Linked DNA regions of Arabidopsis thaliana. The protein of the gene in region 4 purifies or fractionates together with the protein of the main gene of each other region. This does not show direct contact. Each region holds a gene or a part of one and is shown on either strand. Other genes may lie near its edges.

Evidence for each region.
Region 1: the proteins of TAFII21 (region 4) and NRPB10 fractionate together in Arabidopsis thaliana (co-fractionation; one large-scale study listed by BioGRID). This does not show direct contact.
Region 2: the proteins of TAFII21 (region 4) and PKR2 fractionate together in Arabidopsis thaliana (co-fractionation; one large-scale study listed by BioGRID). This does not show direct contact.
Region 3: the proteins of TAFII21 (region 4) and PKL fractionate together in Arabidopsis thaliana (co-fractionation; one large-scale study listed by BioGRID). This does not show direct contact.

Annotation. Positions count from the first base shown.
Region 1 is NC_003070.9:3,858,743-3,865,476, forward strand, and holds NRPB10 (RNA polymerases N / 8 kDa subunit), read left to right. Parts: upstream 1-3,656; 5' UTR 3,657-3,777; coding exon 3,778-3,813; intron 3,814-4,016; coding exon 4,017-4,075; intron 4,076-4,841; coding exon 4,842-4,936; intron 4,937-5,037; coding exon 5,038-5,063; 3' UTR 5,064-5,332; downstream 5,333-6,734. Other genes in the region: UMAMIT26 (nodulin MtN21 /EamA-like transporter family protein), read left to right, coding at 174-325, 451-526; AT1G11470 (Pentatricopeptide repeat (PPR) superfamily protein), read right to left, coding at 1,132-1,377, 1,485-1,546, 1,636-1,780; AT1G11480 (eukaryotic translation initiation factor-like protein), read right to left, coding at 5,626-6,085, 6,211-6,272, 6,358-6,394, 6,514-6,692. UniProt on the Arabidopsis thaliana protein: DNA-dependent RNA polymerase catalyzes the transcription of DNA into RNA using the four ribonucleoside triphosphates as substrates. Component of RNA polymerase II which synthesizes mRNA precursors and many functional non-coding RNAs.
Region 2 is NC_003075.7:15,428,031-15,438,527, reverse strand, and holds PKR2 (chromatin remodeling factor), read right to left. Parts: upstream 7,001-10,497; coding exon 6,881-7,000; intron 6,815-6,880; coding exon 6,657-6,814; intron 6,645-6,656; coding exon of another isoform or gene 6,575-6,644; intron 6,535-6,574; coding exon 6,361-6,534; intron 6,152-6,360; coding exon 5,937-6,151; intron 5,856-5,936; coding exon 5,760-5,855; intron 5,665-5,759; coding exon 5,528-5,664; intron 5,447-5,527; coding exon 5,288-5,446; intron 5,193-5,287; coding exon 5,085-5,192; intron 4,928-5,084; coding exon 4,877-4,927; intron 4,772-4,876; coding exon 4,684-4,771; intron 4,583-4,683; coding exon 4,437-4,582; intron 4,327-4,436; coding exon 4,229-4,326; intron 4,140-4,228; coding exon 4,001-4,139; intron 3,772-4,000; coding exon 3,602-3,771; intron 3,433-3,601; coding exon 3,366-3,432; intron 3,271-3,365; coding exon 3,157-3,270; intron 3,059-3,156; coding exon 2,949-3,058; intron 2,827-2,948; coding exon 2,745-2,826; intron 2,501-2,744; coding exon 2,306-2,500; and 21 more. Other genes in the region: AT4G31890 (ARM repeat superfamily protein), read left to right, coding at 9,479-10,134, 10,338-10,497. UniProt on the Arabidopsis thaliana protein: Chromatin remodeling factor that represses the expression of embryonic trait genes upon and after seed germination and thus enables the developmental switch to post-germinative growth.
Region 3 is NC_003071.7:10,711,455-10,718,910, forward strand, and holds the start of PKL (chromatin remodeling factor CHD3 (PICKLE)), read left to right. Parts: upstream 1-2,610; coding exon 2,611-2,685; intron 2,686-2,953; coding exon 2,954-3,097; intron 3,098-3,191; coding exon 3,192-3,329; intron 3,330-3,419; coding exon 3,420-3,574; intron 3,575-3,676; coding exon 3,677-3,838; intron 3,839-4,106; coding exon 4,107-4,321; intron 4,322-4,412; coding exon 4,413-4,508; intron 4,509-4,615; coding exon 4,616-4,752; intron 4,753-4,845; coding exon 4,846-5,058; intron 5,059-5,148; coding exon 5,149-5,256; intron 5,257-5,417; coding exon 5,418-5,468; intron 5,469-5,558; coding exon 5,559-5,658; intron 5,659-5,789; coding exon 5,790-5,932; intron 5,933-6,047; coding exon 6,048-6,151; intron 6,152-6,249; coding exon 6,250-6,388; intron 6,389-6,641; exon of another isoform or gene 6,642-6,744; intron 6,745-7,145; coding exon 7,146-7,315; intron 7,316-7,456. Other genes in the region: AT2G25169 (uncharacterized protein), read right to left, coding at 1,152-1,261, 1,460-1,524, 1,889-2,004, 2,477-2,560. UniProt on the Arabidopsis thaliana protein: Chromatin remodeling factor that represses the expression of embryonic trait genes (such as NFYB9/LEC1) upon and after seed germination and thus enables the developmental switch to post-germinative growth. Silences some MADS-box proteins such as PHE1 and PHE2.
Region 4 is NC_003070.9:20,213,399-20,219,769, reverse strand, and holds TAFII21 (TATA binding protein associated factor 21kDa subunit), read left to right. Parts: upstream 1-4,504; 5' UTR 4,505-4,635; intron 4,636-4,884; 5' UTR 4,885-4,900; coding exon 4,901-5,161; intron 5,162-5,403; coding exon 5,404-5,694; 3' UTR 5,695-5,871; downstream 5,872-6,371. Other genes in the region: NF-YA5 (nuclear factor Y, subunit A5), read left to right, coding at 1,064-1,522, 1,608-1,781, 1,896-2,189; SPL2 (E3 Ubiquitin ligase family protein), read right to left, coding at 2,467-2,743, 2,828-2,947, 3,130-3,251, 3,343-3,504, 3,593-3,691, 3,919-4,290; RSH3 (RELA/SPOT homolog 3), read right to left, coding at 6,009-6,320.

The DNA.
Region 1 (6,734 bases), about 16 Mb from region 4:
GTAGCAACTTTCGGTATCTTCAGATGAAAATTCTCTGTTTCAATAACCACTACAAATTTAACTAGTAATGTTTTTCTTTAGTCTCTGTTATACAAATAATTACTAGACAATCTCATGCATGTTATCAAAAAAATTGAATACTATAACTTGGATAAACAACTCTTACCTTATAGGGAGTGATAGGACAAGCAATGTCGACGGTATCAGTGACATGGGGGGTGAAGAAATTAGGAGCTGTTTTCGTATCAGCAATTATGCCAATAGCTCTCATTTCGGCTAGTCTATTCGATTTCATAATCTTACACACTCCTTTATACCTCGGAAGGTACTCTCTTCTATCATCTCAATGAAATTAAATTCGTTTCTAAATAGCTTTATATATGTAAATGTATGTAGGTCCACGATCATAACACTAATTAAAAAATTTATTTTCTAACTTTTGCTACACAGTCTGATTGGATCAGTAGGGACAATAACAGGTCTCTACGTGTTCTTGTGGGGTAAGAACAAAGATATGGAAGCATAACTACATTGTCTTCTCTAATGAATAACGAAGACCAAAATTAAATATTAGTGTCGTATTATTGTTCTTAGTTTCAAAACCTCTGTTTCTTGGATTTTTTTTTTTTTTTGTGTGTGTGTTGCTTTTAAATGTATCAATGTGTTGCTAAAACAGTCTGAAAGGGTAATTTTATGTGATATGGACTGTAATTTTTCGAAAAGTTCACAAGTGCCATTGGTAAATGATATATAAACTAATAACATCGAGAGGCGCACTATATGAAAAATGGAGGAAGCCATGCCATGAAAGAACGTCGATGCATTCAAAATGAGATTTGAAATTCCTAATTAAAGTTAAGACCAGTTGTATTAGTGTTATGCAGAGTAGTATATTATTCTACTTGGATTAATTCACAGTAAAGAAGAGATATACATAATTCAAAGGCTTATTGTTATTTCAAAGCAAAACATGAAGAGGTCACCCAGTTAAGAAGAGATACATAATAAATTCAGAGGCTTATAACATGAAAAGGTATTCGACAATAGATGAAATGAAAAGAGAAGACAAAGAGTACATAAGAAAGCGCGCACACACAGACACAGACACAGACCAAATTAATAGTTAATCATTCACTTGGGAGGGCGAGTAGCGTGAACTATCCCGTTTTCCTTTAACAGCTTAGTCTCCAACTTCACGAGAGACACGAAAGCAGGCCAATTCTCGGTACGATTGTGCATTTGGTCGCAGTTTGGGTCTACTTTCTTCAAGTAGGAGTGAGCAGCAGCTATGCCGATAGTGTTACCAATGATATCCACAAAGAGTGCAACCTCAGAGGTAGAGAAACTCATCTCCTTTCTATGCATCCACATAAAGATCTAACAACAACCAAAAAAACAAACTTTCATAAATCCTAACACAATGATCTCTAACTAGAAAAGAAATAGAGCGATGAATACAAAAGTTAGATAGATGAGAAAGATACCTGGAGAGCATCTACATGTTTGCCTTCCATGTAAGCTGCTTTGCCGAGCTGACGAGATCCGCCTGGGTGACGGGAACACCCTTCTTCTCTTCCTCCGCGATGATGAATTCTAAGGTCTCTCGGGTAAGAGACCTCAGCTTCTTGAAAATACCACTCTTTGCATTCTCAGCATCACAAGAGGAAGCAGAAGAAGAAGCTCCGTTGATCTGCCTGTTCCCTTTGTTCTCAGCAGAAGAAGAAAACGGAGCCGTTCTCGCGATCTTAATCTCAGCAGAAGAAGAAGAAAACGGAGCCATTGTTCTCGTAAGCGTAGAGATCTTCATCTCTCTTTTCCATAGATGAAGAGAACCTGATGATACCATTCGGCGCAAGGCCAACATTTTCCAAACCCTAATTTTGATAACCCTAATTCTCTAATATATAAAACAATCAAGTTGCCTTGTTAAAATCAGGATATGATCTCTCTTATATTAGTAGGTTACTTACACAATTACCTACATCTTTGTCGATTTGTCAGTTTGACTTATGAATCAGTCTACTAGATTGTAAAAATAAATAAAACGATGAAATGTCTATAATACCCCTAACTCTACACACGTGTGAACTTTTTGAATAGTACTGGACCCGGGTCAACCACACACAGTAGACACGAGCCTTCTTCTTCTTCTCTAAGCGAGTGAAGTAAGCTTACCAGTGGCAGTGAGTGAGCTCTTACCAGTGTTTAGGGTCTTCTGCAATTTTCCTTGTTTTGATCGGGAGCTTGATCAAGACTACTGATGCTGAGATTTACGAAAATTGCCAACGGTCTCTATGTTCCCGGTGACAGTGAAGCTCTTTACGCTTCCAAGTTTCAAGACTCCACTGCTACTTTGACTTCGCCTATCTCGCTGGTACAAGGTCTGTGGAGGTTACAGTATGGGTGATAACCTTTTCCTTCTGCGAGGAAAGCATTGTCTCGGCTTTTACTTTTGTTCATAACTTGTGGATATTGGATAGTAAAGCCTACCACTAATGGCATAACATTCAGGATGCTTCTTGGTGTGCTATGATTTGTTATAAGCGAATCACTCTCGTTGGCTAAACACTTTGAGAAAATGACTCTTAAAATGCTCTCTTGGGCTATACTGGAAACTTGCTGTGTTCAGTGGATCTTCAGGTCCTTGTTGACAACCATTAACAAGCTTAAGGTAAGAATAAAGAAACCAACAATACTTTCAGTCCTTTGATGATTTATAATTCCATAACAGACTAAGGGCAGTGCATATAGATATCTTTCGTACTCATCTGCTTTTTCTGGTCTCCATCACAAAAGCCAACTAGGTAATCATATCAATCTCTCTTTACCGTTTACTCGACCTTTTCCAATCAGGTGCTTCTGGTGTGTCTACTACTATCAGTTTTAGGTCTTTGTATACCTGATCTTATCTGCTACTGAGGCTTGTAAAAGTGATTAAAACTGTGACATTTACTCTAAGAGAAGTAACCTGTTTGATGCATTTCCCTAATATACCGGTGTGGAAAAGTGTAGGTATCTGTACTCAGCTGAAATGGTGGACGATTTTGAAGAAGATGAACTCTCATTGACTGAAAGCGGGTTGAAGAGTGAAGATGGCGTTATTATCGAGATGAATGTCTCCTGGATGCTTTTATTATCATGTTTGGGAATTTACCAAGGGAGAGGTATCAGAATCTATCTTAGAAGGTTACATTTAGCTCAAGCTTGCATCAACATCTTTACTTAGAGCTCTACGGGTTTTAGTGTGTTTGAAGTTTCTTAACTCCTAGTATAATTAGAATCTTCTGCAGCAGACTTTAGAGTTTTGGGATGTAGAGCTAACCAGAGTCGGTTTGTTTAAACTAGAATCTTTTTATGTAGCAGACTTGTTCAGTACCTGAATACCAGTTTTAAATTACCGTCAGATGTTGATCTTGTTGGTAATAATGGAGAAACGGAAGAATAATTAGACGAAACAAACTCTTTAAGAACGTATCTTTCAGTTTTCCATCACAAATTTTCTTACAAGCTACAAAAATCGAACTATATATAACTGAACCGAATTTAAACCGGAGGGAGGGTTTGACTTTGGTCAATCACATTTCCAATGATACCGTCGTTTGGTTTGGGGAAGCCTCGTCGTACAAATACGACGTCGTTTAAGGAAAGCCCTCCTTAACCCCAGTTATAAGCTCAAAGTTGTACTTGACCTTTTTAAAGAAGCACGAAACGAAAAACCCTAAAATTCCCAAGCAGAGAAAGAGAGACAGAGCAAGTACAGATTTCAACTAGCTCAAGATGATCATCCCTGTTCGTTGCTTTACTTGTGGAAAGGTTGATATTTTCCCCTTCGCTTTGGTCTTATTTAGGGTTTTACTCCGTCTTTATAGGGTTTTAGTTACTCCAAATTTGGCTAAGAAGAGATCTTTACTCTCTGTATTTGACACGAATGTTTTTAATCGGTTGGATACATGTTGGGTCGATTAGAGAAATAAAGTATTGAGCTTTACTAAGCTTTCACCTTGTGATTGGTTTAGGTGATTGGAAACAAATGGGATCAGTATCTTGATCTTCTCCAGCTCGACTACACTGAAGGGTAAGCTTACAATGATTCTCACTTCTTGCTGCTCTAATCATCATACTTTGTGTCAAAAAGAGAGTAATTGCTTTGCGTTTTAGAGAAATTAGCCCAGATTTCGTATTGGGTCTGTGAAGTTTCATATTAGCTAACACACTTCTCTAATTGATAACAGAAGCTATAAAATAGATTTGCTGATGAAGGAGTTAGCTTTTTATAATCTTCTGTGTTTGTGTTTTACTGTCTGTGTCATTGGAAGAGACTATGTCCTGCCTATATAATCTCTATGTGCCTATCTAGATTTTCTATACAATTGATATTTGATAGAAGTAGAAAGTAAGACTTAAGGTCTTTTGATTAGACTTGTGCCCATCTACATGATTCTTATTGGACTAATCATTCTTTGTGTGAAAATAGAATACTTTGTCTGAACATGAGAGAATGGTTCATAATACGTGTGAAGTATGGGATTAGTTCAACAATTTCGCTATTGGAGAAGCAAACCAAGGGTTAATCGTTTATAGGGTTAAGCTAATGCTCTGCTCTTTATATGTTATTGGAACAGACTATTGTTGTGCCTATCTTGTTTAGTTGTAGATTCTATCTCGACTGTTATAAGTATGACTGAAGGCTTGATGACTTATGATTCTCTTTACACCTGTAGAAGGATTTAAGCTTGGTGTCTAGATATTCAATCTGTGTTGGTTTTGTCTTTCTTTTGGCTCTTAGTGTTGTTCAATCTCCTCAATAGGTATGAAGTTACAATATCCTTATTATTTTGCAGGGACGCACTTGATGCACTCCAGCTAGTCAGATACTGCTGCAGGCGTATGCTAATGACTCATGTTGATCTGATTGAGAAGCTTCTCAACTACAACAGTATACTCTCCAAACTCTTATCATATGTTGTGTATCTTTTGACTCGGACGTTATTGTCCTTTTCGATTTATTTACTGGTACCCACGTACTTTTCCTTGCAGCTCTGGAGAAATCAGACAACAGTTAGAAGAGGATGCAAATCTGCTGAAAAAGTTTTCCTCTTTAGAGGCTTAAATATTAGTATGTATGAAAACATTTGGTGTATGTGGTGTAGACCCTTCAACTCCATCTAAAATTATATATGTGTGTCAGTTACTTTCTCGTGTGATTCAATCTCATGATTTCCTGACCTTGAAGATTTCTCCTTTGGATTCATGTTTCATTAGTATTATTGAGGTGATTTTCATGGCCATAACTGAAAACCTTTGAGAAAAGAGTTAAAAGTCACTGGTCTTCATAACCTTTTGTATACAAAACGCAAGTACAACAGAATCGTCCAACTGTTTAGTGTGTTCAGGCTCGGGCAAGAGTTTTCAAATCTTCCAAACGAACGGTTAAAATAAAATGTATAACCAAAGAAGAATGAAGAACACAGTGTAATCATATCTGGCTTATGTAACCCGACCCCGTTCTTAAGGGAACATATCACATTCAAATCTCCAATAACGATCCCAAACCACATAAGATGTGTTATTAAGATCCAATTAATCGGGACTAAAACCAATTCGAGAGAACAAACGAACGATGACTCAGTACCCATTAATCTGTCTTCCTGTTGTTGTCGATCCTACCAACCGAGAGAAGGGTTGCTGCTGCGTTTGGTTGTTGCGGCTTTTGTTAAAACTGTTGCTGCTTCCAATTCCAGATTTAGGGTCAGAGAAAGGAGAATAGGCTTGAGCTAGCTCAAGAGCAGAAGCTGCTTTTCCGTGACGAATCCCTGTTCCATTTGGTGAATCCAGTTTCTGGGGAACCGGCTTTCGCCATGTCTCTGGTGATGGATGTCTTGTCTTCTCCTGAGTCTGCTGTTGCTGTCTTGCGCTCTTGTTTTCATTTTCACGCCAGTTTCTCCTCTGAGTTTCGGATCTGGCAATGTCGCTTACATTTCGCCCATCCTTTTGGTCGAATTTCCTCGTTCTCATGTCACGTGGAGAACTCACTGGCCTTTGACTTGCATGCTCTGGAACTCTTTCAATCGGTTTGAGGACCATCCTTTTGATATAAAAGAAAAAACAAAAACAGAACTTTAAATTAGATAGTTGGTCTCAATGGAATCGTAAGTGTTGGATCGCAGAAAGTATACACAGAATGTGAGTGGGTAGAGAAACCCGTTCTACCTATCTGTCGGTTGATCCAATTTGTGATGCTCGGGCTCATCAATGCCTCTCTCCTTCAACACCTGTCCAGGAAATCAAATGATGATAAACAAATGGACAACATAACAAGAGTGAGTTATACAACAAGATGAAACAAACTGCACTCACCAGCTCTCGTGGTCTGGCACCACCAAAAACCGCACTTCTGCACCAGCCAGTACAAATTTTAAGAACAATTCTTCTATATAACTATAGTTATGTCCCCAAGCTCCAAAATAATTATTACCGAGCTGGGACAAAAAAATGTAAGTACCACATTGTTACCTGTCCTTTTCAGTTTTAACTTCTGGCTGCTCAAGCAACTGTGCCACAGGCTTCAGATTCAACTTGGGCCGCTCAGCCGGCTGGTTAGGAATCTCATCTGTAGACAAACCAGATTTTGAATTGTTGAAACTTTTCTGTGTCGCATTTTCACGTTGTATAAGGACTGAAGCACTATTTTCCTGCAGATACAAAACTGAGGTATCAGAAACATAGTTGAGGAA
Region 2 (10,497 bases), on a different chromosome or scaffold from region 4:
AAAAAATCAGCAAAAGGTATCTTAGTAAAGAAAATCAGCCAACGATCAACACAATCATGAAAGAAGTAATAATGATTTTTGATGTCAATCCAGCACAATGATGTTATCCGCTGCATCCATCTCTACATCATGATCTGTCCCAACGCTTAGCCTAGTGCTTATTTCCTCATTGATAGGTTCCAGAGGCTTAAAGCTCTCCCTCGGCATTCGATTCAGCGGTTGAATATCTAAATATGTCTGGAATGACTCACCTGACTTCTCATTAACACTCTGAAAATGTGTGGAGAAAGATAAGTTAATATGGGTTCTTAATGTAACTATATATCCACGAAAATAGGAATGTGTTTGTTTACCTGATCGTATGATTGAGCCATTTCAACTCTGCCTTGCTTGTTGTCAACGGCAGTTGCAGAATTTTTTTTTGAAGCTGCAAGATTAAAACGTTTCAGTTAGAACAAGAATCTAAAGAAATATATCCATTAGTAACTGTAGAAACTTATCAAGACACATACTGATGGGATCATTCTTAAGCATTTCTTTTTCTGCATCAACAAAGCTTGTTCCCTTTGTTTCAGCTTTTGCTTGTTCAGCAAGTATCTTTTCCTGCAACGAAGTACCAATATAGATGAACAATGTAACAATGTAGTAGTAGCATGAGAAGACAAAAGATTAAAATTACTGAGTCGGCACAAAATATTACGTACTGCGTACTCATACTTTATGGCATCCTCCATCTTCTTAACCCGTTTTCCCACATGGTCACAAATTCTTTTACGAGCAGATTTAGTATCAGGAGGGAAAGGGATATTCAGGTCTTTGCAGGCAACCTCTTGGAACCCTATCTCTTCGTCTTCAACGATGGCCACCCATCTACCATAGCCATGCCTATATTTTTACAAAGTTTCAAGAATGGAAGCAACATGCATGTGAGCAAACAAACAAAGAGAAACAAAATCAAGTAAGGATAATCGTTGAAGGGTTCTTACTTGGAAACAGCAGGAATCAGTATCCTATCATGTTCTTCCTTAGAAAATGCTCCATTTCTCAAATTGTACTTACTGATGACGTAGTTAGAGAAAACAGGTGCTGTCGGATGGTTGTCCAAAAATTGACACTGTCACATCAAACATTGAGAAGTGAGCTCAAACAAACAAGAGAGGACCAAACCAAATTTTATCAAACGAGAAACTTTCAGATATATAAACCACATGCAAAAACTTTAAGAAAGAATGCAATGAATCTTCTCAAGTTTTGGTTCGGTTACTAGTGCTAATAAGTAACTGTTTAAATTCCATAGACACTGGAAAATGGTAGGCTTACCTTCTCCTTTACTAGCATCATAAAAGTCATGCTCACTAGTAGCTCGTCACTGCTTATCCCTTCTTTGGGAACTCCATCTGCATAGACCATTGCCGTAATAACTTAAAAATATGATAACAGAAATAAGCAATTGGATATATCTAAGAATACCAACAAACATATAATCAATAAAGTGATAAATTACCTTTAAAATTTGTAGAATTATCGGTAGGGTTTTCGGCAATGTGTTTCAAAAATAAGATTCCATACCTGAGAAACAACAAATTTAACAAGTGTCAATGAACAACTGTTGGTTTTTGTAAAGCAGCTGAAAATAAGAGCATAAATGGCTTTAAGTCGTCAATACTTATTTATCTCGTCATAGGTCTTCATGTATAAGGGATTAACAAACTCCTTCCAATCAAAGTTTCCAGCTCCATACCTACAAAAGTTGTTTTGAGACACTTATGATATACTATGATGCTTTGAGAGACGCCAAACCACAATTTAGACAACATTATTAGAAAGAAGATATACCTCTTAAACGTACGTAAAAATATATCCCTCTCAGTCTCGTTAAATCCCAGCACCATGAGATATCTCCCTTCGCCTTCCATCAAAGGTATTTCCTCCGAATTATCTTACAGCAAAATAGATTTTCAAAGTTACTTAACTTGTAAACCTCTGAAACCAACAAGATGTCATCTTCAATGCAATATTTGGAAAAGTATAGTACCGCGAGCCCTTTTTCTGTAAGGCCTTGTAACCGTCCTCGGCTTTCTCTGTCGAGCTGCTTCGGGTTCATCTGCTTCCTCCTCCTCATCAGAGGTCACTTTTAAATCATCAAGACAATATTCGTCCTCCTCATCAGAGATTTCTTCTAAACCATCAAGATCATCTTCAGCATACATCACCTAGTAATATTAACAAAAGCAGGAATAAGAACACTTGTGCTAAAGGACATAAAACGATTCTGGAGAGGTGGGATCAAGAAGAGTATACGTACCTGCTTGCCGTTTCTCTTCCTCTTTCCAAGAGCACTGAGCTCCTCAGCTTGTTGCACTTCATATTTGTCTTTCAGCAAATCTTTCCAGTGACTTGTTCTATCAGCATTTCTTACTGAAGAATTGTTTTCTATAGCTTGTGCCTCCTCTAATGCTGCAGCCTCATTTTCATCATCTACATACTCAAAACTAGCCACCTAATATACAGGAAATAACATCAAAAAGAGAAATTATATTTGGAATTAATGCCACTAAATATATGTGTATAACTTAATATTGCAGGAAAAAAGGGTGTATATATATGCATGCACATGCACATGATGATTCTTGTAGCATATCCATTGAATTATTACTCTCTAAACAATTCTCTGGACCTTAACAAATATTGGATCATCTGATCAATAACCACTCATCTAGAAAGAGAAAGAGAAAGAAGTAAACCTTGAAATTCTTTAAAAAATCAGTTTCCTCCTCATCATCCAGTGAGACCTCCACAGCATCTACATGATTACGATCTAGCAACCTGCAGAAGAAAAGGTGTGGCTACAAATCATGAACATTCCATGCAATTGTATGGTGGCTTTGAACTATTAAAGTAAAATCACTAGGAAAGTAAAAACAAAGAAAGAAAGAAGAATATATTACTGTTCGATAGCAGCATCATCGTAATGGATTTTTCCAGACCTCCCTGCTTCATCATTCTCTTCAGAGAAAAGTTCCTTGGAACCATATTTGATGATGTCATCTAACTCGTCCTAATTACAGTCAGGGATAGAAAACAGTAATTAATTAAACCTTGTAGCAATAAGAATCAATAACAAATCGAACAAGGAATACATATATATATATATACCTGACAAAGATGTTGTTTTCCCACGACGAGATGCTCTAGAAGCATCTTGTTCTTGGTTATCTCCATCATCCGTTCTTCTACAGTACCTTTGTGAATCAGTCTGTAGATCATTACCTAAATAAGAAAATATAGGCTTAATCAGTGACATAGCTAGAAAAAGAATGAAATAGCAAGTGGATGATTCCACATTGACGCCATGAAAAGAGAACCTTATTTGTTTGGCCAAGCCGATGAACTCTAGCCATAGCCTGGAGATCAGCATGAGGATTCCAATCACTACAACACCAGTGAAAAAATCATGTCAATAAATTCATCACAACCATCTTAAATGCCTCTACAATATCTTTCCGCTATTAACTTAGAAGATCCAAACACTCTGTTATTCTGGAAAGAAACTTCCAACAAGCACTTTATCATTTCATTAAACAGATATTGGAACTCAAACCTGTCATAAATGATGACTGTATCAGCTGTTGCAAGGTTTATCCCTATTCCACCAGCTCTTGTACTGAGCAAAAAACAGAACCGGTTCGAGTTTTCTGCATTAAACCGATCTATTCTTACTTGCCTCTCAGGTCCACTGATCTTTCCATCAATCCGTTCATAATTCCAATTCTGACAAAATAAAAATAAATTTGTTACGGCTCAATATCATACAATAGTTTTTCCTTAATTGCATATAAGCAAATTATAAAAAGAAAGTTACTGTTCCTTGCGTCTCAAGATATATTAAAAAGTAACTTTTAAGTGGAAGGAAAAGATTATATCGCAAGTCATTTGCAGAGCGACAACACCAACTGAACAAATCAATAGGTCGACAAACAGATATAGCAGATTAGGTTACCTTGAAAGTGAAGTAGTCTTCCAAAAGGTAAAGGGTGTGTTGGAATTGGGTATAGATTAGCACTCTGTGCCCCTGCTCTTTGAGTTTGACCATCATTTTGTCTAACAGTTGCAACTTTCCGGAAGCTTCCAATAGTTTTCTTTAGAACAATTCAGAAAAGGTCAAGCAAAAGTCAGCACAAAATACTAAAAAGGAATCAATACGTCAAGATTAGTGATCAAATGTTACGTAAAAGCTTCATTTGCGTCTTCAAATCTTGGCTCAAAGTCTGGTAACAGATACGGATGAGAGCAAACTTGGCGTAATTTCATTAGCACGTTAGATATCTGAAACAGTTTAACCAGCCGAATTATCCTACCAAGTACAGTCTAAAAGGTTCCTAAACCAAGACAATATATATACATCTGCATAAGCACAAGAGATCCACAAAACTTACTTTAGCATCTCGTTTCTTTGTCAAGACTTGATAATTATTGGTAATAACAGCTTTGTACACTTCTTTTTGCTGGCTGCTCATATCAACACGCAAAATGAGCTCCTTCTTTGGGGGCACCTTATCCTTGAGCACGTCTTTCTTTAACCCTGCAATAACAATAAAAGCAAGATTAATCACCATGGTTATAGTTATCCCTTGGTGCGAGACTTCAAACGAAATGTTCTTAATAAGATTTGTTGGTTAATACTTCTGAGCAGATGCGGAGCCAACATTTGGTGGAGTCTTGAAATCTGCTCCTCTTTATTTATATCTTGAAACTTCTCCAAACTCCCAAACTGCAAGCATGGAAAATAAAATAATTAAAGCAAGCTTGTATGCTTATAATGACTATTTTAGAGAATAAACTAAACTTATTTTATATGCGTTATCTTTTGGCTAACCTTGTCCGCATCAAGAAAATGCATCAGAGCGAAAAGTTCATTCAAGTTGTTCTGAAAAAACACCAAATAAGTATTAGTGATACAAAAGAATTGATACCATAATAATTATAGTACTATTTCAGAGATCATAACTAATTAGGTAAACTTTAATGTAGGATTGAATGAACCTTGGGAAAGTCGAAGAACCAAAAATCGACTAACGACGAACCTGAAGTGGTGTTCCGGTCAACAGAACGATATGCTTACTTGTAAACTGACTCAATGAAGAGTACAGCTTTGACTTCTGATTTTTCAACCGATGGCCTTCATCAATAATCTAACCAAGAGAATGATATTCTAAGCAAAATATGAGATCTAAAAGAAAGACATACAAAGTATATAGTATCATTCAGATAATTAATACAGAAATACCATGCACGTCCACTTGATTGGACTCAGAACTGATATCCCTGGGTGAACCATCTCATACGTCGTGAGCAAGACATCAAACTTACTTTTACGCCCTTCAGAGAAGTAGAACTCATGTTCCCATATAACATCACGTGCTTCCGAATCCCCAGTGTACATAACCTGCATATATCATACGATGAAAACATTAATAAATAACTAATACCGTATATGTGACATATATATACGAAACATGATACATACCACATTCATATGTGGTGCCCAGGTGGCAAATTCCCTCTCCCAGTTACGGATGGTTGAGAGAGGAGCAACAACTAGATGAGGAGATAAGTTTTCCTCGAACAAAGAGGCCAAGAAGGCAATGCTCTGAATAGTTTTGCCTGCAGCAACCACAAAACCAATCTTATTTTACACAAATGATAAAAGCAAAGCCTATGAATAACCCCAAAAAAGAAATGGATTTTTGAAGACGTACCTAGTCCCATTTCATCCGCAAGGATTACATTGGTTTTCTTGGACCATGAATACCTTAGGAAATTCAGCCCTTCGAGCTGGTATGTATGCAATGTGCCTTAAAAACATATAAGGTAAGTAAATCAATAACATTATACAGAAACTGTATACAAATTGTTCAAGTAGTCTAATAAAATACCTGTAAGAAATTCAGGAGTAAGATCAAACTGTTTGAATTCCTCTCGATTTCTCTCATTTTCGACATATTTATCTCTACGAGAGCTAGAGTTTATATCCTTAAACCTTTGGATTTCATTCTGGAAATCTGAGATGTCAGATTCAGATTCCCAGTAACTATTTCTGTAAGAAAGTTCTTTGTACTTCACCAGATACTCCTCCCCATCATCTCCTTCCCTACATCATATCACAAACAAAAAAACCATAATTGTCAAAACGAAATCCATTAAGTGTCACACTTTTCTACACAGAAGATAGAGAAAGAAATATAAACGCATGAATAAATAATCACAAAGGAAAAAAAAAAAAAAAAAAACATAATTGTCACAACGAGGTCTATCAAGTTAAGGACATAAAAACAAAGGACAAGACTTGAATCACTTAACCGGCAAGCAATAATCCGGTCAACAGTTTTCCATTCAGGACGAATGGCGATAAACTCATGAGCTCCGTTCTCAGCGATGAATACGTCCATAGCAGCGTTAAACCTGGTCACCCTTAATTTTAGTTTTAAATGAGGATGGGACTTGTAAGCCTTCTCGAACTCCTGCTCGGGCACCCTAAGAATTGACATTAATAATCAAGTGATGATAAGATAACCAGACAAGAGAAGCAACAAAAACATAATAATCGACATGTTTAATTAAATACAACACGATATCGCATATTGCTGGGAATTTACCAAGAGCAGTGCAAGTACGATAACCCCTTCCACTTCACAAGATATTGTTTCACGACAACTAGGGTTGGTGTCCCGTTGTCAGAAGAATTCGGATTGTTAGATGCAGTAGGACGCCATTCACGGTCCAAAATCTTTTCAATCTCGCCAAGAGGACAATCCTGAAATGGATCAAATAATTAAAAGTCACTGCAGATCTATAATTTCACAACAAGACAAAGACATACCTGGTTACTTCCGCCTGTTTCTTCAACTTGTTCTTCACGAATGTATTCATCCAACTTGTCTTCAATATAATCTGGCTTTGGCCCGGTTCGTCTACGAAGCCTTTGCAACAGATTAGCCATTTCTCTGCATGAAAAAACCACAACAATGTGTTTGGTCAGTAAATATGATTCATTAAATTTTTAGATAAAATCGTAACAAGAAAGAGTGAAAAGAGAAATATCTCAGAAAATCTAAGACCAAGGAGGAGCGTACAAGATGAAGAAAATGCAAGGGAGCTAAAACGCAAGAGGGGTGATTCTTAAGGATATGATAAACGTCTGTTTATATATATAGAGAGGGAGTGGTCATTATTCTTTATTTCCTTTTAATTTTGTTTTATGGAGATAACACTACCTTTTTTTGTCAATTTCAATGTAAAGGTGAATTAATTTGTAACCAGAAGGGGATGCAGATGTAGTTGTGGCTGTGAGAAATTTTTAGAAGTGAGTCCTAGTGGTTTTTGTGAATGAAATTGTACCTAAAACCGTTAAGATTACGCGGCAATTTTGAAATTTCAACAAGAAATTCGATGATGATTTAAAATAAAATTATCAAAATAACCATATATTGAATAATTAAATATTTAAATATCATTAAAACAAAAAGTTATTTTATTTTATTAGTATAAAAAGTTGTTTGATTTATTAAGTTTCCTTGACACTGGTCAAACTATAAATTTATATGCTTACCAAAAAAAAACTATAAATTTATATTGTATATATACATTTATGTAACATAATTAAAAAATATATATCATATTTAGGGAAGAAATTAATTTAAAGTTTTTTTTATTTAAGATTCTTTGTCTGAATGGGTTGACCAGAAATAAGATTTAAATATTTAGTTATATCTTTAGTATCTAAAGATATGTGTCTGAAAACAAATAAATGAAACTTAAATAAAAATCTATTCAATGCAATATAATGTGATTTGTTTCTATAGAATAAAACAAATATTAAAGAGAGGCATGCAAATGGTAAGTATGAAAAAGGTTATAAAAGAAGAAGGAAATAAAGATTAGATTCATGCACTGTAATTTTGTTTAAAAATTAGCATTATCTTGAGTCTTGACCACAAAACCAAAATTAGTCGTCCGTTACAAATTGGAAAGGGATTTGGTTGTGACCAATAGTATGAAGATGGTTTACTTAGTTTCCAATACTCTATGGACAAATGGTGCATTTTTGTATTTGTTAGTTTTTTTAAGAGGTCCACATTTCAATTGATTAACGCTTTTTAAATTAACTAACACTTAAAAAAAGTTTTGTTACAAAGTATTATATAGATTTTAATTAATTGTAACAGCAAAAGCTTTCATAGCTCAGTTGGTTAGAGCACCCGTTTAGTAAGCGGGAGGTCTTGAGTTCAACTCTCAATGAAAGCAAATTTTTGTTATTTTACAATTAAAATCAGTTTTGTTCATTTTTATTAATCTTTAAAATAGATATGGTGTGAATGTTTCTCTTTATGCTTGGGCCTGTGGCCCTTTTTGGGCTTTGAAAAGCCTTGTAAGTTGACATAAAATCACGCTTATCAATTAGAGAATTATTAAAATATCCACCGAAATGTTTTCGGTGATAATGGGCTTTGAGTGCGTACCAGTAAAAGAAGGTTGAGACTTGAGAATAGCAATTAGCAGCGATCTGACCAAACAACACAACACAGTTAAATCATTCTCGAATACTTCCACTGGATGTCCACTGTGCAGCATGAAATTTGCATATATTTATTTTTAATTGATACAAGTTATTTTAGATGTTTATTGTATTTTTTTTGTAGAGCCATCCTAAAATAACCAAACCTTACGAAAAATAAATAATACAGAAACGTATCCAAAGGGGTTCTTACTCTTTAGAAAATTACTGAAATCAATTGTAGAAGAGCCTAAACATTGATTTAAATTTTGGTTTCTCGGTGGTTTTGTTGGACCATTTTTAGAGCTATAAACTTCTTCTAGAAATTCTTTTTTCTTAAAATGAAATATATTGTGTGTTATAGAAAAAGAATCATAAACAAAGCCCCAATAGTAGTAGCAATCTACTGATTTAGTATCATCAAAATGATGGGACTTGTGTAGAACTGTAGAAGCTTCCCTGACACACATTTTGTAAATTTTGAACGGTTGAAATTAGTGATGGCCTCACTCACCCCTCTCTTGTACTTTCACATTTTCTCTTCAAAGAAAAAAAAACAATTTTCATAAACGTTATCAATTTAAAAAATCATCAATGAAGAAAAAAGCATATAGAATTGACTTAAAATAATTGATAGAATAGCTTATCCGCGATTTATTATAAGACTGCATCCAAACACAGTTTTTTTTTTATTCTTTGATAAATCAATAAGTACTGCAAATTTTTGTTCTTTATAAAAAGAAGTAATCAACAGTCAACATTCGCTCTGTTTTCGCTTCCAAATAAACAAACAAATAATTATAATTCTTTCTTACAAAAAAATAAAAAGATATATATAAATCTTTCGCACTCTCTCTTTGCTTGTTGGTGGTGCATATGTAGTAAGTAGGTTAAGCTTAAAGAACTGATCGGAGAATCACAACCATGGCTAAATGTCACCGGAATAATATCGGATCTCTCATTCTTGACCGTGCTCCTTCCACTTCTTCTTCTTCTACTTCCGGCTACCATTTCCGTCTCTGGAGCACCTTCTCTAGATCCACATTCCGTAGAAAGATCGTCGACGCCGTTAGTTGCGGCGGTAGCTCACGTTACCGTCACGAGCTCCGGGAAGAGGACGATGAAGGAAGTTACGTGACGGTGACGGCGAAGTCAACAGTTGCATCATCGAAAGATGCGAAAGCTAATACGATCGGCGCGGCGTTGAACGGCGTAGCGTTCGAGGAGACATCGAAGAAATCGGAGAAGCTTTGTGATCTGTTGAATCTAGCTGAAGTTGAAGCTGATGTTGAGACGATGAAGAAAGAGGAAGCTCTTGAGGTTTTGAAGCGCGTGGTCAGAGAGTTACAATCAGCTGCGGCGGCGCGTGAAGATAACGATGACGGAGGAGACTGTCGGAAGAAAATAACGGCGGCGAGTGAGGTACGGTTGTTGGCGAAGGAAGACTCGGAGGCGAGAGTGACGTTGGCGATGCTCGGTGCGATTCCGCCGTTAGTTAGTATGATCGATGACTCGAGAATCGTAGATGCTCAGATCGCTTCGCTTTATGCTCTGCTCAATCTTGGGATTGGTAATGACGCGTAAGTCTCACTTTCATTGCCATGAATTTTTATTTCGGCCAAATAGTTTCTGTGTTTGTTTTGGGTTCATTCGTTAAGTCACTTTCCATGTCTTTTTTTTTTTCTGCTAGAGTGAGTATGAAGTATGGAACAATGTGTATAACTTGAAGCATTTATTTCAATATTTTACCCATTTTAGGACTTTCCTTGATTCTGTTTTGCAGGAACAAAGCAGCGATTGTTAAAGCAGGTGCTGTTCACAAAATGCTGAAGCTAATTGAGTCTCCAAACACTCCTGATCAAGAGATTGCAGAAGCTGTGGTCGCTAATTTTCTTGGATTAAGCGCTTTAGATTCAAACAAACCGATTATTGGTTCTTCTGGA
Region 3 (7,456 bases), on a different chromosome or scaffold from region 4:
TGACTGCTAAAAAATGTCAATAAAAATACAAAAATGTTTTCTCTCTTTCGTCTTCATAAACATTTAGTCATTCTTATTTTCCCTTTTTTTTAGTTTGATTTGTTACAAGAATAACATTTTTATTTTTCTGTGAATATAATGAATACAATTTTATTATATTTTAAGTTATTTTAGTTTGACGGAGTATAAAGTAGTATACAAAGTCGACGTACGACGATAATGTACAAAACAAAAGAAAAAATGAGAGCTAACTACACCAATTATATGTATCGTATATCCACGTATACCAACCAACATATATATGACATGGTTAAGCGACAACATTTTTTACACATGTAACTATTATAAATTTTTAGTTTATAGCGTTTACAAAGACATTATCATAAAATTTGATTATTACATGACTGCATAATTTAACAAACATAGAACCTTATTAAAATGCATGTTCCAGTGCAATACATGTGGATTGATGTTGAATGACTCTAAAAGATATTGTTATGATACAACAGTATCTCAAAAAAGATTCAGACCAAATATTTTATTGTCTTAATTATTATTATTATTTTTTTTTTTCTATAAATCCGATATTTCCCCAAAAGCCAAAAGGGTGATGTGAGACCGTTATACTTGACATATTTTATATATTTTATTTATATAACCTATTTTGGATCGTTTCCAACTATAAGATATGGGGTTGATAATTTTTGATTGTACATGAAGATTTTGTGTCCTTTGTATTGTATTCTATAGTCGAACTTGGACCACGTGTAATAACACCGGAGCACGCATTTTATAAGCTTTATGCTAGTATCCATACGATTAAATTATAGTTCATCATCATTTGTTATACTATATATTGATGTCACATAATAATTCAGATTTAAATATGGTAATGTGTTTGTGAACTATCCAAAAAATTTCAAAGAAATATACCAAAAATTTAATAGTTAAAATCTGAAAACAAAGCATGTAATTTAAGCTACAATTGTTATTACATATTGTAAGGGCTACGCAATTAGTTCTTGACAGTTGGTTGACTACATAACACTTGCTGAAACCTACGTTTTAGCGTTGGATATCTCTCTATATATTTTTGGTCAATGTCGTTGGAGATTGAATCCTAGATTAAATCCTACAAGAAGAAGAAAGCTTCATGAGAAGAAGAAGATGAAGAAAAGAGAAGAAGCCAAGCTTGGAAGAAGAGAAGAAGAAGATGTCGTGACCAAAGGAGGAAGAAGAGAATAAGAAGTTGTCGTGACCACTGACCAAAGGAGGAAGAAGAGTCAACGACACAAATCCAACATAAGAACGGAGTTGGATTTGTGTTTTGTAATAAGGCCATTGGGCCGTAAGTGAATTATAGCCCCACAAGTGTTAGTGGGTTTGGTTGGTTAAGTTTAAGCTAAATAAGTTAAGGTGGATATAACAAACATAGTTGCACCAATGCATCTCAGCTCACCTGGTCTAAGCAACGGTTTCAAGAAGTTGCTCGCTTCTATTGCTCCACGCCTCCACAAGTAGCTCCTACACAAGAGTAATAACTCATTAGTATAGAGACACAAGATTATACAAGAAATACTTAGTAGACATAATTGTTCATCTCCAGTGTTAATCCTCAATAATTGTTCGATGCAGTATTCTTCTAATGAGATGAAAAATCATTTTTATAGAGTTACCACCCATCAAAACCATTTATACAAAACGTTTTACTTGGTCAGAGTAAAAAAATGCATACAAGTATTGTGTATAAATAAAAAGGTCATCTATTAATGTATAATCTGAATCAAAAAAAGAAAGAGCACCTGCACCAATAACAATGTGAATCTCATCAATGAACAAGATTGTTTGCCCATTCGAAGCATATACTTCCTTCAATATTGTTTTAAACCTTGTCTCAAAATCTTCTCCATAATTAGCACCAACAAGGAGTGAACCCACGTCAAGAGATTTCAGCTCCATGATAAATAGCGAAACCAAGCAAAGCATGTTAAATCTTCCTCTAGCCTCTTTGAGGGGAAAAGGTAAATAAACTTAAATATTTAAAAATATCTAAGTTTATATAATAACAATATTGGGTAAGTGAAAAGTAATTGTCATTATTTTTGACACTTATTTTTATAAGTTAGAAGTAATTATAATTTTTTCAAACAAAAAAGTAAGTTTTTTGTGTGTGAAAAAATAATGATATTGAGAAGGTAATTTAATTAGAGGTGATATTTTATACCTTAAGAAGTGTATTAAAGTTAATAATAACCATAAGTTAAAATTGGTAAGCTAAATGTTAGAAATCATTTGTGTTGTCTGAATTTTCAAGTTTCGTTCGTTTCGGATTACTTTCTTCTTCTGCAAAAACAGATCCCAACCATTTCAAAGGTTCGTCTTCTCCTTCTCTTCCACACTCTTCTCTGCTTCACTTTTTACTCTATCTTCGACTAGTAATATCGCTTTCGACTTCTCAAATTACTTCTCAAGTTACTATTTTTCTCTTCCTTTCTTTCAAATTTTCGTTACAAACTGAGTTTGAAACTGTTTGGGTTTTGTAAAGTTTTGATCTTTTCATGATATTGCGGTAAGAGATTGTTAATTCGACTTCTGGGTACTCACATTTCGATGCTCAATTGTTTATTCTTATGGGTAATTTTGGCTAGGGTTTTTTCCAATTTCTCTCTCGTTCTCTTTCACAAGGTTAGTCGATCTTGCTCATGTGGTATAGAGTTTGATGAATCGAGTTGTTTAGTAGCTATTGTACGAACTATCTCTTGATATAGTTGTAAAGGTTTTAGATTGGGAACAAAAAATTTCACTGTGATGTTTGTTTAGGTAGTAGAGTTCAATTGTGTGAAACTCTAATTTCATAGTTTGCTTAAGTCTCAGAACTAGCACTGAGTCTATTGTTATATGTGTTGTTTATGTAAGTTTGTTGTTATTGATGGGAGATATGTTTTGTGTGCAGAAAATGAGTAGTTTGGTGGAGAGGCTTCGCATACGATCTGATAGGAAACCAGTTTATAACCTAGATGATTCTGATGATGACGACTTCGTTCCTAAAAAAGATCGAACCTTTGAGCAAGTCGAGGCTATTGTCAGAACTGATGCGGTTTGTTTCTCCTCTCGAGCTTATTGTTCAGCTTTTACTGTTTTATGTGTTCTATTTTAATCCTTTTTTTTGTGTTGTTACTCTGAATTTGTAGAAAGAAAATGCATGTCAGGCTTGTGGGGAAAGTACTAATCTTGTAAGCTGCAATACATGCACTTATGCGTTCCATGCTAAATGCTTAGTTCCACCTCTTAAAGATGCTTCCGTGGAAAATTGGAGATGCCCTGAATGTGTAAGATTTTAGTTACGGTCCACAATTATGTTTTGGGATGCTACAGGTTCCATTTTTCTTACATGGAAGAATTGTTGTTTACATTTGCAGGTTAGTCCTCTTAACGAGATAGATAAGATATTGGATTGTGAAATGCGTCCTACAAAATCTAGTGAACAAGGTTCCTCCGATGCGGAACCGAAGCCAATTTTTGTGAAACAGTATCTCGTGAAGTGGAAGGGATTATCATACCTTCACTGCTCTTGGTAGTTACTGCGTGTCTTTTTTGCTGTCTGGACACGCTAATTATCAATGTTTCTTTCTGTGAACACTATAATATGTGATTTATTTCCTTTTACTAATCATAGGGTGCCTGAGAAGGAGTTCCAGAAGGCTTATAAGTCAAATCATCGTTTAAAAACCAGAGTGAACAATTTTCACCGTCAAATGGAGTCATTCAATAACAGCGAAGATGATTTTGTTGCCATACGTCCTGAGTGGACCACTGTTGATCGGATTCTTGCCTGCAGGTCTAGAGAATGGAATTAATTCCTTTATTTATCTATCTGCCAACTTTTTTTTTAATATCCTTGTTTTCAGCATAATCCATTCTCTAATAAACACGTATCTTTGATAGAGTGCTGCTTAACCTAAATTTACTGTTATCACGATTTTGGGTCTCTGAAACATGATAAATGACCTGCTTACCTTTTTTTTCTTCTTTTTAAGTTACCATTTTCTTAGTTGTTTCGTAAATCAGGAATTGTGACAGTTGCATTGGTTTCTTTTATGATATAGAGAGGAAGATGGGGAGCTGGAATATCTTGTCAAATATAAAGAGCTATCCTATGATGAATGTTATTGGGAGTCAGAATCAGACATCTCAACCTTCCAGAATGAAATTCAAAGGTTCAAGGATGTAAATTCTAGAACTCGCAGAAGTAAAGATGTTGACCATAAAAGAAATCCCAGAGACTTTCAACAGTTTGATCATACTCCTGAATTCCTCAAAGGTATTTGGATCACCTTAAATCATATACTATAAATGTTTCTTATATTTGGTACTTATAGATGTTATGATTTATTTGTTTCCTGCGATTGAAGGCTTGTTACATCCATACCAGCTTGAGGGACTTAATTTTTTGCGGTTCTCGTGGTCAAAACAGACGCATGTAATCCTTGCTGATGAAATGGGACTAGGTAATTTTTCAATTGTCCCACTTGGGTGGTCACATAGATCTTTTCATCCATTGTAAGGGGCCTTTGTTTTCTATTCCTGTAATGTTGTGAGATTTTTCCTGTTACAGGCAAGACAATTCAAAGCATTGCCCTTTTAGCTTCACTTTTTGAGGAGAACCTCATTCCGCATTTGGTAATTGCTCCTCTATCGACTCTGCGTAACTGGGAGAGAGAGTTTGCCACATGGGCCCCACAGATGAACGTGGTATGTATGCAGTTATACACGCAATGATCTGTGCCATTTGTATGTTTTTGTTGTTTGTTAATGGAATGGTCTTCGTGGTCATTTGACGGGTAGGTTATGTATTTTGGCACTGCGCAAGCTCGAGCAGTTATCAGAGAACATGAGTTTTACTTATCGAAAGATCAAAAAAAGATCAAGAAAAAGAAATCTGGACAAATAAGTAGCGAAAGCAAGCAAAAAAGAATCAAGTTTGATGTCCTCCTCACATCGTATGAGATGATCAACCTAGATTCAGCAGTTCTAAAACCAATTAAGTGGGAGTGCATGGTAACTCTTATTCTCTAATGAGACTTTACTTTCTCTTAGTCGTCTCTCTTTCTCTCTTACATGTTGCCTAGTAACAATTGTTTTGGGCAGATTGTTGATGAAGGTCATCGACTGAAAAATAAGGATTCAAAGCTGTTCTCTTCATTGACACAGTATTCAAGTAACCACCGTATTCTTCTGACAGGAACACCACTTCAGGTTCGTCATTTGAGTTTGATTTCTGAAGTTTATACTTTCAATAGTTGTATCTGAGCATAGTAGCTACGATTTGCAATGAGAATTGTTATATATTATCTTGCACTAATGTCTTACCTGATTAGTTGCAATATGTTACTGATGATTATGTGGTGCCTTTACAGAACAACTTGGATGAACTTTTCATGCTCATGCATTTTCTTGATGCGGGGAAGGTATCACAAGAATAGCAAAGATAAATAAGTTCGCATACTTAACAGAATTTTATGTAGCTAACATGTTATTTGATTGCACAATACTTGCAGTTTGGAAGTTTGGAGGAGTTCCAGGAGGAGTTCAAAGATATTAATCAAGAGGAGCAGATCTCAAGGTTGCACAAAATGTTGGCTCCACATTTGCTCAGAAGTATTAACCAAAACTATTTGTTCATCTTTTTTAATTTATATGTGTTTCAAAAGTTTGGTTGGAGGGAATCTTTCATAGTAATAATTTTATGATCTTAACCATGCTGTCTCGTATTTTGATTGCTCTTCCAGGGGTAAAAAAAGACGTAATGAAAGACATGCCCCCCAAAAAGGAGCTCATTTTGCGTGTTGATCTGAGCAGTCTGCAGAAAGAATATTACAAAGCTATTTTTACCCGTAATTATCAAGTATTGACAAAAAAGGGAGGTGCTCAAGTAAGTTCTTTTTAATTTTTGTTTACACTTTTTGGATCATTAAACCTCATAGGTGGGGTAGAAACCAGGTCAACTGTAATCGTCTAGTGAATGTATTGGTCTATTTCTGTTTCAGATTTCCCTTAATAACATTATGATGGAATTACGAAAAGTATGCTGCCATCCTTATATGCTAGAGGGTGTTGAGCCAGTTATTCACGACGCAAATGAAGCTTTCAAGTAATATCTCATTTCCCAAAAATGGTTATCTGTTTATTACTACTTATTAAAGTCGTCTGCTAACTTTTGCGTTGAACGTTTTCTTATATGTATCAAAGACAACTTTTGGAGTCTTGTGGAAAGCTGCAACTTCTAGATAAAATGATGGTCAAACTGAAAGAGCAAGGACACAGAGTCCTAATATACACACAGTTTCAGCATATGCTGGACTTACTTGAAGACTACTGTACCCATAAGGTATTTGAACTTCTTATATGTACAGTCTGTTTCAGTAGATTTTCATTCTTGTTGTTTTTGTAGAATATCATTTTGACACTGTAGAATCAACTCTACCATTTTCTAGTGTTAGAGTACTTAGGCACAATTATGGAAATACAAGCATGTGCTGAAATTGAGAGTATATGAGCATTCTGTGCCCAACTGAAAGAGCAAAGACACAAAGTTTCCTTATAAACACAGTACAAATCACAAGTTTAGCCATCTTCTATGTACAGTAGTTTTCCAATAGGTCGAGCATGTGCTGAAACTGTGTGTACAGAGTTCTCATAAACACACAGTTTCAGCATATGCTGGATCTACTTGAAGACTACTGTTCTTATAAGGTACTGAACTTGTTATCTGTACTGCGTATATACGAGATCTCTGTATTCTTGCTCTTTTATTTTGACACTTTGTTCTCATATACACTCGGTTCAGCACATGCTCGACTTACTGCCTAAGGATCTTGAAAAAGGTAGAGTTGATTCTATGTCTAGGTGCAATTACTTTCTTAGAATTTTTGTCATTACTTACTCTGTTGGCAATATAACTTCTTTATTCCCTCAAAGATTACTTTTTTTGGTTTCTTGAAATGCCATTATCAATACCATTGCTTTTGCTGACGCATGCACTTGAGACAACTTGTTTTTATCTCTTTCTAGCACATTTTTTTTTAACATGCAGTTAAGGAAAATTCTCATATGATTTACGCTGTTCATTTTCTTGTCTTTGTCAGAAATGGCAGTACGAGCGAATTGATGGAAAGGTTGGCGGAGCTGAGCGGCAAATACGCATAGATCGGTTCAATGCCAAAAATTCTAACAAGTTTTGTTTTTTGCTCTCCACAAGAGCTGGTGGCTTAGGAATAAATCTTGCAACGGCTGATACAGTAATCATTTATGACAGGTTTGAATTTCAGCTTCTCTTAGTGTCATCTGTACTCTTTTCATAGTTATTGTGTCAAGCTGTAAGAGGAACTATTTGGCTTGATAGCATAATATTTTGGAAGTTTAATGTTGATTTTTAAGTGAATTGGGTTGTGATGAG
Region 4 (6,371 bases):
TTTCTAGCCTTGTCTAGATTATACACGCGTCACACTTCTAAATTTATATCTATCTTTTACTAGATTTTTCTATTATTTATTGTTGCCTACATATTTCTATTTTGTTTTGTAATAAAACTAAACCTGATTTGAAAATTATAAAAGCACTACGTGACACGATTTGATTCGATATACTTAATTTTTGAAACATAAACAATATAAACAAAGATAAGAAAAAATACCACAAATAGAAATGTCAAACTCTGCAAATAAATTCAGAAATGGAAACAAAATAATATTTTAAAATATTTAATAAATTGTGTGTGAATAAATATGCATTTGTTGAGAGAAGAAAACCATAATTAAAAAAAAAAAAAGAGAAAAGGAGTCAAGATTAGTCTTTTAAGCCATAGCCAATACCCAATTTGCAGAGACAGAGGAAGAGAGAGAAAGATAGTGAAGAGAAAGAAACAACCATGTTCTGAGGAAGGAGACATGCATCATCATCATCATTCATCATCATCATCATCATCATAATCTCAAGCTTATTACTTAACTTCTTTTTCTCTCCATCTCTTCTTACCAAATCCAAAGCACCAAAGGTCTCTCTCTCTCTCTCTCTCTTCTTGTTCGCTTAATTTATTTGGTAGTGATGTTATGATTTGGTTGCTCAGTTTCTACTTATGATGATATAATTAAAAATAATAATTTTTGAGTTATGAGAGAAAAAAATCTTTTGGTTGGTTTCTCTGTTTTCTTGGATCATTAAGTTCAATGAGATTTGATGAGTTTTTTTATCTGTTCAAACTCAGAAATTTAATCTGTCGATTTTAGTTTTTGTTTGCATGTTGTGTAAGTTCTAGCCATGTTCAAAGTTTGAATCTTTTGGAACCCTTTAGATCATGAAACAATCTTACTGTGTCATTGAACCTGGAATCTGTGTTTTAGGATTGCTTTTATAATCTTTTGGTATCATTTCTCTCTTGTATTTGTTGATTATGTGGATCATGAATAATATCATATGATTTATGACTGGACTTGTTGGTTTGGACATTTAGTTTATTGAAGTAAAGATTTGAAGACAATGCAAGTGTTTCAAAGGAAAGAAGATTCATCTTGGGGAAACTCAATGCCTACAACAAATTCAAATATTCAAGGATCTGAATCTTTCAGCTTGACTAAGGATATGATAATGTCTACAACACAATTACCCGCGATGAAACATTCGGGTTTGCAGCTGCAAAATCAAGATTCAACCTCATCACAATCTACTGAAGAAGAATCAGGCGGCGGTGAAGTTGCAAGCTTTGGAGAATATAAGCGTTATGGATGCAGCATTGTTAATAACAATCTCTCAGGTTACATCGAAAACTTGGGAAAGCCTATTGAAAATTATACTAAGTCAATTACTACCTCGTCGATGGTGTCTCAAGACTCTGTGTTTCCTGCTCCTACTTCTGGTCAAATATCTTGGTCTCTTCAATGTGCTGAAACGTCACATTTCAATGGTTTCTTGGCTCCTGAATATGCATCAACACCAACGGTAATATGCTGTGAAGCCTTTTGTGCTTTTACTATTCTGAATCGATCTGGCGCATTGATTGGTTGATTGGGAAATCTTTTTGCAGGCGCTGCCACATTTAGAGATGATGGGTTTGGTTTCTTCAAGAGTGCCATTGCCTCATCACATTCAAGAGAATGAACCAATATTTGTCAATGCGAAACAGTATCATGCGATTCTCCGTCGCAGGAAGCACCGTGCTAAACTCGAAGCTCAGAACAAACTCATCAAATGCCGTAAAGTATGACTGTTTTCACTTTCCATTTTGCCTAAAACACCAAAGAGAAAGAGGGAAAACTAACTCAGAAGATCTTGATGATTTGATGTAATAAAGTTTTGTTTTCTTTTTCTGTAGCCGTACCTTCATGAGTCTCGCCATCTTCATGCTTTAAAGAGAGCTAGAGGCTCCGGTGGACGTTTCCTCAATACAAAGAAGCTTCAAGAATCATCAAACTCACTGTGTTCTTCTCAAATGGCAAATGGACAAAATTTCTCTATGAGCCCTCACGGTGGTGGAAGCGGAATCGGGTCTAGTTCGATCTCACCGAGCTCCAATTCAAACTGTATCAACATGTTCCAAAACCCGCAGTTCAGATTCTCAGGTTATCCGTCAACACACCATGCCTCAGCTCTCATGTCAGGGACTTGAGGCACATGAGAAGACCTTGCTCCGAGAGAACTCAGGCTAAACTCCGGAGACTGGTGATGATACATGACGGGAAGTCATCCTTGGCTACTTATGTTATCGGTTACAAAATTTCTTCCTTTTAAAAACTTTGCTTTCATATCCTCTACAATCTCTCACTCTATATTGAGTGACTTGACGAACTTTCAAATCATTGTCAAACTATTTTGTTAACTTCCGATTCTCTGAGAGTACAAATTGCATTACCCTATTACATACAATGAGAGAAGATTCAGGGTCACTAAGAGTAATATACACGCATAGATCCCCTAATGCTCTGAAGACAAACTGGACACTTAGGGTTTAACTCTCGTTCCACGGTTGAAGCACATCGCCTGCAACATACTACATGTCCACAGGGAATAAACGCAGGTACTCTCCTTCTTGACACGCAGATCACACACAATTCTCCATCTGGGATTTCATCTGCATCTTCGGGTTCATCATCGACCACAGAATCGTTCGGTCTCTGTGGCAGTTCTCTCTGATGGTTCCATTGTTTCCATTTATTCCAGGTCCTGAAGATAAGACAGTTAAACAGATTTCAAATCGAAACATTGCCCAAATCTAAAACCAAATCTGATCTCTCACAACTCCAGTACCTGACAGCAGCATAGCTAAGGATGCCAACAGACACAATGCCCAAGATAACGCTGCCCAAGAATATAAAGTTGGTCTGTTCCATAAGGTCCTCAATCATCTTGTCCTTGGTCATCTCTGATCTGCAAAGATTATTCATAAAGATTTATATATGAACAGCAAATAGAGCCTTTCTGCAACAATGGACTAAATCTTGTCAAATGATCAACAGATTGAGAAAACATAAAGAAGAAGATGAAGTAATAATTTGAGCTAGAACGCAGGCAGATATATAAGAACGAAAAATATTCAGATAAAATCTCACAAGAAATAAGGAAGATCTTGGCACGATTTGATTTCAGGAACTCCATTATTAAAACTGTAGATGCCAACAGCTGTTATATCTTTCCCAGGTGGTAAAATCTTCTCTATATCAAGCAGACCAACCTTGGAAGAGAAAGGATTACAAAGTTAGCCAAGAACAAGTAACCATCAGTTCCTCAAAACCAGAAATTTCTTTGAATATATATATACTCACAGGATAATCGGGGTACAAAAAGGCTTGAAGAAACGAAGAATTAATAGGCTGCAAGCGATTATACACAGTGGTAAGCGGAAGAGGTTGCCTTGAGCCATCCATGTTAACAGCGACAAAACTAGAGTTCGATTGCTGATCCTTTCCAACAATGACAAATGGGACCTGCACAAAGCAAAGGATACACAAAACAAGTTTGATCATGGATACAGAGCCAAAGTTGAAAGCTCTGAAGCTGATAGAGAGACTTTACCGTTCTCGTAAAATCAGCACCGTGTTTGCGCAATGATCTCTCCAACATAAACCGGTGACCAGTGGACTGAAACAATCTCTTCCATCCACTATACACATACTGTCAACAACAAAATGATGACATTAGAAACATACATTTCCCTTCTGAGATCACACCAGTACCAACTTACATAATCCTAACTTAATCAATCACAATGAACACCTAATCATGAAGAAATCATCCAAACTCTTTAACCTAAGCCTTTGATAAGAACACAAAGCAAAATTAGGTCAATGTCAATTGCAATTTGAGGGAAACATAAACACTTAGGGTTTAGAGCAACGTACAGTTTGCGTTCTCTGAATGATAAGAGCTTTATCTCCAGTCTCCGGAGAGATTAACACGTTGTTGTTCTTGTAACCCTCATCACCGGAAATTTTCGGTTTGACGACTCCGCGAACCACAACGATTCGCTGATCATTGCTCTTCCTGTTATCGTTAGTCTCTGATTTGTCTTCAGAAGCCGGAAGCAGTGATCGGAGGTCGGAAATGGAGACTTCGGGTGCATCTTTGATCTTCTTCAACGCGGCGTTGGTAGAAGCATACTTGAGAGCAGAACCGACGGCGCTAACAGCTAAAGTCAGTCCGAGGATTGCGCCGTCGAAGGAGAGAGCGATGTCCGTCAATAGATTCAAGAGAGCACGCTCCGGCGAGGACATTGTGGTAATTTCGATTTCAACGTCGTAGACACGGTCACACGGACAAGTAAACGGAAGAGAAATGAGGCTATTATCGGTATTTAATATTATACATTCGACCGTCGTTCTAATTTGGGTCTTTAATGGGCCTATGCACGAGTGAAATACAAAATACTAGTAATAAATAGCGTTTTAGTTAAATTACATTTACACCCTCAACGTTACAGCAGATTTACAAACCAAAACCATAAATATCAGATCTAGAGTGGCAGAGATTAGTATTTCCCGATTCCTCGCCGCCGTTCATCAATCTCTCCGTCGTGTTTCTGCCACTAGCTCTCCACCAAACTTTCTCTCTCGCATTAGGTATTTATCGCCTCTTTATGGCATATAATCTTGTGTTTTGGAACTTATTGATGAAGCTAGGTTAGAATCTCCTTTGTCTTTCTTATCTCCGATTCGTGAAGCTCTAATTCTTATTTATTCGATTTATGTAATGTGTTGCTGTTACACGATGTTTGCTTGTGAGATTCGATTGAAACTTGTGTTGTTGCAACATCAATTCTGTATAAGAAAGGTTCTTAATTTGACTCTGTAGCTTTACTTTTTTTTTAGTTGTTTAGGGATAAACATGGCAGGAGAAGGTGAAGAAGATGTACCTAGAGATGCTAAGATTGTGAAATCTCTGCTTAAGTCGATGGGTGTAGAAGACTACGAGCCTCGTGTGATACATCAGTTTCTGGAGTTATGGTACCGGTATGTGGTCGAAGTGTTGACAGATGCTCAGGTTTACTCAGAGCATGCTAGCAAACCCAACATTGACTGTGATGATGTGAAGCTCGCTATTCAATCCAAAGTTAATTTCAGCTTCTCACAGCCTCCTCCAAGAGAGGTATGCATTGTTGACGATTCCATGTTTCTTCTTCTTCATTGTCTGAGAAGAGATGCGATATGATCGGTCATTTGGTATATGTGAATCATTAGGGAATTATCACTCTTACTTATGACTTATGAACTGTGTGTGACCCTCTTGCCTCATAAATTGTATCACTGAGAACCTCAAGTTTTTGTCTGTCACATCCATGCCTTTTGGTTCCTGAATCTTGAAGTTTCTGTTTTTGATGTTTGATTTAGGTTCTGCTTGAGCTTGCTGCAAGTAGGAACAAGATACCTCTGCCAAAATCGATAGCAGGACCCGGTGTTCCACTCCCACCTGAACAGGACACATTGCTGAGCCCAAATTATCAGCTCGTGATACCGAAGAAGTCGGTTTCAACAGAACCTGAAGAAACCGAGGACGATGAAGAAATGACAGATCCTGGACAGTCCTCTCAAGAACAACAACAGCAGCAACAACAAACCTCAGACCTTCCAAGCCAAACTCCTCAAAGGGTCTCTTTCCCACTCTCTAGACGACCCAAATAAGTACCCAAATAAGTAGATAGACCAAAAAATCTATAATATTTATGTATCAACAAGTAGAAATGTAACACAATCAAAAATTAATGACCAGAGCCAGTTTTTATGGACCAGATCCAGATGTGTGGTTTGAAGATTTAGAATGTAAGAGAATCAAATATTAATGACCAGAGTCAGTTTTTTAGAACATATAGGCATATCTTATATACACTGTTGTGTGGGAATCAACAATACCGAAGGTACAACAAATCTTCTGAAGCATTATACTATATATGCAACTATAGTATATATACATGAACAAAGGTAATTAAGAGAATCAGTTAGCTTCCCCAGCCAACCATGGTACCAGTAGCTGCACGGTGAGGCCGTGAAAACGCAAGCCCTCGATCATACATCCGCTGAATTTCCTCTCTGTATTCAGTCAGAGACTTGTCAGGTATGGCTGGAGTCAGCTCCACCACATCTCCCATCTTCAGCTTGCATTTCAGATCACTTACAGGTGTCTGGTTAAGTCTTGGCCTTAGCTCTTCCTTTGCCGGGATGCTGTACATTGACCATCTCGAGCTCCCTGGTCCTGCTCTGCGTAACAGGTCCGACACGGTAGAATTCTCGGGAAACTCTTGCACAGTCATCTGCATTTTCGGGTTTATCAAATTATAACTCCAAGCAAAGAAACATCCTCA